2 linked regions of the Drosophila melanogaster genome follow. The protein of the gene in region 1 purifies or fractionates together with the protein of each later gene. This does not show direct contact. Each region holds a gene or a part of one and is shown on either strand. Other genes may lie near its edges.

Region 1 (3,928 bases):
GGGCAAGGATAATGTGGGTTGCCTATCAAAGTGATGGGAGATAAGCAAACATCATTTGACTTTCAAATTTATTGATAAATCTAAGATCTTACGAGTCTGTTACGGTTAAACCCCTGTGCCCATTACGAAAGCAGGTCATAAAAGAGCGTAACAAGTAGAGGTTGTGCTTAATAAGCATAAAAGTCTTGCAGCACAATATTCAAATAGGCTTAGGTTCTCGTAAGTGTAGCAACTAGTTGGGTCTTGAGTTTAATGAAGAGTTTTAGTAACTTACTTAAGCATCGATGGATATTTTTGAAAGCCTTTTTAAACAGTTGATATGCGAACACGGCCTAGGTTTAAAACACAAATATGTCAGTTTTAGAAGTACTTTTAGTTGTATTCATCTTATTTAAACTTATAACTACACCATGACTATGTACATCACAAACGAAATAGGCAATTAAATCTAATGACATCCGCACTCCTTGGCCACTGCCTTTTGGTATTTGGTCAGGTCGATGATGTCCTCATTGAGATACCGCAGAATAGTGATGGCACCCAAAACTGTGGGCACACAGCAGGGCTTGGGCAGATGCGGCTGCTTCAGGTGCATCAGGGTTTGGACGATGGCGTGGTTGGTGGCATTCATTTTGGTGCCCAGCGGGAAGTTGCAACCGCCGCCGCAGAAATAGGCCTCGAACTTTTTGGGCGCTATCACCCAGTTGTGCATGTGCAGCTCCTTGAAATCCACAGTGAAGTTAAGGCGCTCGCAGGACTGCGGTGGTCTGTACAGATCCACGGGCGGCGGCGGAGGAGGTGGTGGCGAACCACCACCGGCCCTTCGCTTCTCGAGATCTCTCTTGAAACGAAGTTTCTGTATTTTGACCAGCAGCTCGGGGCCGTTGAAATAGCCGACAATAAAGGGCTCTAAACTGGTGCGGCTGGCCTGTGGTGTCACCAATCCAGCTGCAAAGGTGCTCAGCTGGGAATCGCCAATTGATATCCTTAGCTCATTTCGACGTTGCAGTCCCTTATTGTGTAACCAATACCGCAGCGTATCTGTCAAATTGAATTCCAGCCAGCCACGTTGGCTGCTCGTAGTATTCACAGAGCCCAGGATGCGATAGGAAAAGTCCTGGCGATTGTCCAGTTTTCGGTACACGGACACGGTAAAGTTCGCCCTTCTGTCCACCAGACTTGGTTGCTTGTATATCCTGAGCATGGCCTGAACCAAACTCAAATCCACTGGCACATCGTTGGTGTTGAAGGTAATGTGCATATCAAGCTCGTTGTCCAGTTGCTCGGGTTTCAAGCGGCTCGAAAAGGTAAGGATGCTGTTGCAACTGGCAATCTCCTGTCGATCCTCGTTGGAAATCAGGATGTCATCGTCCAGCGAGCGTTTGTGGCGCTGATGCAGGACCTCTTTGGGCTCTTGGTCCTCGCTAATCTCGTTGTAAACTTCGAGAAGGAATTTCGATGCTGAATTGTGGAGATTGGGCTCCGCCTGTCGTCTCGGACGGTCACCCAAATCCAGGATATCAATCATCTCCATTTGCTCGCTCAAAGGACGCTTCTGGTATATGGGCATCTCGATGTGATTATTGGTGGTCACATATGTGGTGGCACTTGCAGCATAAAAGAGGCTGGTTAAAAAAAACACATTCAACATTTTGTGTTGTTCTCATAGAGAGACTCGAACGAATACTGACTTCCTTGGTCATAGAATAGTATCTTATATATGGAAAACAGGTAGTTCAATTGCATCAGTGGGCAACTGCATTTGGATGGATTGTAAAATAAAGCTATATAAAGGGTTAACCAACCCATTGGTCAGGTACAGGCTGAAATTTTGGCAGCTGTTCTAGAAATAAATATCAGGTATATTTCCAATAAGCATAGATTCTTAAGTATGACCTAAGTTGTATGAATTTTCAAATAAATCTTAACTATATCGCTCTTATTTCTTTTAGGCTTCCTGCAAATCGAAAACAGTCGCGAGGAGGATCAGGGCAAATACGAGTGTGTGGCTGAGAACTCAATGGGCACGGAGCACTCGAAGGCCACCAACTTATATGTGAAAGTCCGTCGTGTTCCGCCCACCTTTTCCCGCCCACCAGAGACCATCAGCGAGGTGATGTTGGGATCTAATCTGAATCTATCCTGCATTGCCGTCGGCTCACCCATGCCGCATGTCAAGTGGATGAAGGGTATGTCAAATGGTTGTAGAATATGGTCTTTCAATACTCAATTCCTATCCTTTTTTTTCAGGCTCCGAAGATCTTACACCCGAGAATGAGATGCCAATCGGACGAAATGTCCTGCAGCTGATCAATATCCAGGAGAGCGCCAACTACACTTGCATAGCGGCCTCCACTTTGGGCCAAATCGATTCCGTTTCGGTGGTTAAAGTGCAATGTAAGTGGAGTGGTCTTGGAGTGCGATGTACTTACATGGGAAACTGATAATCGTAATAACACGACCTGGTGTCTTTCACAGCTCTGCCCACCGCACCCACCGATGTGCAAATCTCCGAGGTGACCGCCACTTCGGTGCGTCTGGAGTGGTCGTACAAGGGTCCCGAGGACTTGCAATATTACGTGATCCAGTACAAGCCGAAGAACGCCAACCAGGCCTTCAGCGAGATAAGCGGCATCATCACCATGTACTATGTGGTCCGTGCCCTGAGTCCCTACACGGAGTACGAGTTCTACGTGATAGCCGTGAACAATATTGGACGCGGACCGCCCTCGGCACCAGCGACATGTACCACCGGTGAGACAAGTGAGTATCGCGGATGTGGGGCTATGGATGCCCCGCTTTATTTTCGGAGGACATTTTACTAACTGCTGCCCTCTTCTCTCGCCTCGCTATCTTTCACATGCTGCACAAAAGGACTTTTAACCAATTTCATTTTGAATTTAGAGTGCGCTTAGATCCGTTTTTATTTGCCTTGGTCCATTATGTCGGCAATCGTACTAACCCTTCTTGAAAATGTCTATTTGCCATCTCCCTCCCTCTCTCTTTCTTCCGCTCTCTCTCTCTCTGTCATTCTCACATGCTTTTGCCTTCTCAGGCGATTTCTCATTCGGTGGCACAAGTAAGTATCCTTGGCAAACAAAATTTTATGGTTGGCCAAAAATTGGCAAAACAATTTCAATAACAATTGTTGAGCAGCACAAATCCGACCCGAAAAATGTGAAAAGGGTATAAAAAGTAAGAAAAAAGTACAAAAAGTAAAAAAAAAGGAGCAAAGAAAGCGGAATAACAAGTAGCTAGATAGAATCAAAGGTAAATGCAATGTTAAAAAAATCGTTGCATACGCAGCTGCGATCCAGAACCATGCGTCCTGGCGATATCCTGACGTATGCGCGTAAGGGGGGGGAGGGGGTGTGTGCGGGGTGGCGCCCCAGCTGGGGTATGGGTGATATCCTCCCCCGTAAATCCCATAAAGTTTGCATTGTTATGCGTTCGTTTGGATGCTGATGGTTGTGCTGGTGTGTGTGTGTGTTGGGTGCATGCAACGCTGTTTTAGTCCTGGCAATTCCCGCGTAAGCGTACGCTTGTCTGACATGCCTTTCCGGCCACTTCTGTTTTTTCTGGCGCCTCTCACAGGGTATCATAATGTGTCCCAGCCCGGCTAGGAGCCCTGTATCACTGGCCTAAAACTATACAGAATGGTATATACAAAGTTCTGTGAACCTACTTGATCATTAAACTAAAGTCTAACATAGCTATCTTTCAGTCAGCTATTATATTTATTTACTCAATTCATAATAATCCCAGATTATTCTGAGACATTGCTTTGTATACTAAAGTAGTCTGAAACTAATTTTCTTAAGAAACCCCATATCAAAGGGTATTTCTCAATTCGATCAGCTAGCGTCTTCGAACAACAGCAGCAGCTGCAGTTGCATTTTTACCAGCAGATCCAAGAGCGTGTCGTACA
Region 2 (3,340 bases), on another chromosome or scaffold:
AATATACCACTTACCGTGGTGGGCTTGCCACGCATCGAGAGCGTAACTCGTATGTGGAGCGGCTGGTGGCCATCCGGACTGCGCACGGCCATCAGGCCGAACCATTCGCTGCCGTCGAAGCGGTACTGAAACACCTTGGGGCACGGACTGATCGGCATTCCCTGGGCGACTGCCTTGGTTACGTGCTCGATGCAGAGGATCAGGATCGCCGCCAGGTGCAGCCTCATCGCTAGTGTCTGGGAATGCCCGGGATGAAAATGCTTTTCACTCAAAACAAACGTAAACAATGCCGCAATTTCGATCGAAGCTTTAACAGTCCGGGAACACTGTGTGCATTTTATCCACCAACAGAGTTGCCAGACCAAGAAAGTAACCCCTGTTAATTAAAATGAGAGAGGGGAAATTGATCCTTTAAATTCTCAATTCCGTGCAAGTTCAAATTTCAAAAAACTTTACAAATTAATTATATCCCACAAATATGGATTCTACGAAACATTTACTGGATCCACTGTTAGAACTAAAAGGAATATTTTTATAATTTCCAAGTTTATTGTTGTCTTTTTTTTATAAAAACTTAAATTAGCAAATGCCTTGCTATTTTTACATGGGTATTTTACATGGGTATTTACAAAGAGATCGTTTGCTATGATGAGGTCCAAGCTCCAATTTGAAGAACCACATTTATTTGAAATTATCTGTGCTATTAGGAAAATTCATCCTCCTCGCCATAGCCCCACTCGTCCTCGATCTCCTCGTTGCCAAAGAATCGCTCCAGATCCTGTTCAGCCTCCGCCGGAACGGTATCGGCGGTAAGCAGTTGGTCCTGATCCTCCGGACAACCGCGGCAGCGACTCTCGTTGATTCCATAATTGAGGCAATTCTCGCCGACGCACTCGCAGCATCCGTCGTGGAACCATCGATAGCTACTGGCTCCCATGCTCTCGCACTGCTGCCGGCACTTGTTTGCCCGAATGCACGAGTTCACATAGATCACGGTGCATAGGGTGACACCTGCAGACCCGGCATTTCCATTTCCATTTCCGTTTCCGGCATCACCACTCGCGCCGCCCTGAACGCGCTGCTTGAAGCCGGCTCGCATGGAGAACCTTATGGTGGACCATCCCTCGTCATCCTCGGCGGTTAGGGTGTCGAACAGCTCGGGCACTCCTTCAATGTCTCCAATCTCCGAGCGCGGCGTCAGCGAGGGCAGGACATCCTTGTGCTTGGGACACATGTCGAGGCAGCCACAGCACTCGATGTACAGTTCGCCAAGGCAATTTAGACAGTCCTTGCAGCAGTGGCAGTCATTTAACTTGCACTGGCAGCTCTGGGTGATGAGGCACTTGGATACCACCGATCCGCAGACCACTTCGTTGCATCCATCATCGTTGGCCAAGGATGACCACGGTGCGATTCCAACGAAAAGGATGACGAAGTAGCACAGTAACTGCATTCTCGACGAGATCTCGCGGCCTTATGATACATTATCCACGATTGCGGCATGCCTTTATATGTTTTTTTAATATTAGTATCCAGATGGTCAGGTAGATGGCTCATCCTTACCACAATCCGCTAATCCTCGTGTCGCGAAAATCAGGTAGTGACCCTCAGCAGGCAGGCTGGTCATTTAAAACCATTTAGAGGTAACTTCTCCTATAAAATGTGCCAAAATAAGGGATGATCATCTCAAAATAGCCTTACTTTTAAGGCAGCTTCTAGGATTAAACACGCAAACATTACCTGTATTATTGACTAATACGAACCGTTATAAAATAAGCCAATTAGGTAACATAAATAAAGTCCATTGGTTGGCTAAAACAAAATGCAGATTCTTAATCCTAAATCTTAACCGCAAACAGGTATTATTGGCTCTAAGGACTTAACAGGTATAATTACAATTTGTTAAGTGTTTTGGCCAAAAATCGATATATTATGTTAAGGGAAGTCAGAAAAACGACATTTGGCAAAAATGCCATAATTTATAACTTGGCCAAAAATCATCACATGGCTAAAAGAAAAACAGTTTCGCTCAGATAATTACCAATGCTAAAGATCCATATCATTTTTAAGCGGATACTAAGAAATTAATTTTAAGATCAATTTTTGCATTTTCGTAAGGTATCAAAATGCGAAAAAAATTAAAAAAAAAAAATTTTCCTCAAATTATAACCCAAATCGATTGGAATTTAAATAACAAGCTCGTTGAGGTATAACATTCAATTTATAGACCATTATTTCGAATTTTCTGACCAAAATACGGATTTTTTTATTTACAACAAAAATCGGGTGAACGATTTTTGGTATAACTTGGTCAAAAATGGTCACAAAACAAAAATAATTACCGATTTATGCTCCTAATTACCAATACTAACCAACCCTATCACTTTTTGACGAATTTTGTAAAATTATTTTTTGGCCAATTTTTTGCATTTTTTGTAAGGGGTAACATCATAAAAATTGTCAAAAAACTGAAAAAATTAATATTTCTAAATTTGGACGCCATTCGATTGGGAATTTAATTACGAGCTGAACGAGGTATGACACTCCATATTTGCAACATTATTTCCAATGTTTTGACCAAAATATTGAATTTTATTTACATATTTTTAGATAGCTTTGTACATTTCAAAGGCAACGATTTTCGTTACGCAACAAATTGAATGCTATTTCAGTTTTTTATTAAATTTAAAATTTTAACATTTCAACAACTGGGAATTTTCGCGTATACACTAAAAAATTTAGTTGCCAAATAATGAGTAATAATGAGTGCTATACTGGTTTACTCGGCTGCTGGCTCAGGTGCAGGCTCGGCAGGAGCAGGAGCAGGAGCTTCTGCCTCCGGTTCCGGTGGCGCTTCGGCGGCAGGTGCCTCCTCCTTGGGCGCCTCATGTGGCGCCTCCTCCGCTGCTGGGGCTTCCGGAGCTGGAGCTGGAGCTGGAGCTGGAGCCGGTGCCTCTGGCGCCGCTCCTTCGGCGGCTGGCTCAGCTGGTGGTGGCGCCACCGGTGCGGCATCTCCGGCTGGCGGTGCTTCGGCAGCCGCTGGTGCGGCATCTCCTTCCACGGCAGCGGGAGCCTCTGCGGCGTGAGCTTCTGCTTCGACTGGAGCAGGAGCCTCCGAAGGATGAGCCGCCGCTGCAGCTGCAGCTGCAGCCGCTGCCTCCATTTCCTGATTGATTTCGGTGGCCCGCTTGCTCTGAAGAATATGAAATATGATTAAAATATTTGATATTATTAATGTAAAACCATTTAGGCCTTCTACCTTCTTCTTTTTCTTTTCGACCTCGACGACGACCTCCTCCTGGGGCTTGTAGTCCTCCGGGAAGAACTTGAGCGCCTCGTC

The links.
Region 2: the proteins of scw (region 1) and tsg purify together in Drosophila melanogaster (affinity purification with western blotting, with the first as the bait; one study listed by BioGRID). This does not show direct contact.

Annotation. Positions count from the first base shown.
Region 1 is NT_033779.5:19,699,272-19,703,199, forward strand, and holds scw (screw), read right to left. Parts: upstream 1,698-3,928; 5' UTR 1,652-1,697; coding exon 449-1,651; 3' UTR 108-448; downstream 1-107. Other genes in the region: Lar (Leukocyte-antigen-related-like), read left to right, coding at 1,953-2,189, 2,251-2,397, 2,479-2,754, 3,056-3,079. UniProt on the Drosophila melanogaster protein: Part of the signal that specifies dorsal cell fates in the embryo. Acts together with dpp.
Region 2 is NC_004354.4:11,987,460-11,990,799, forward strand, and holds tsg (twisted gastrulation), read right to left. Parts: upstream 1,490-3,340; 5' UTR 1,454-1,489; coding exon 704-1,453; 3' UTR 603-703; downstream 1-602. Other genes in the region: gd (gastrulation-defective), read right to left, coding at 15-227; CG18130 (uncharacterized protein), read right to left, coding at 2,780-3,193, 3,260-3,340. UniProt on the Drosophila melanogaster protein: Involved in dorsal-ventral patterning. Required for specification of a narrow strip of dorsal midline cells that will give rise to the amnioserosa, but not for specification of dorsal ectoderm cells.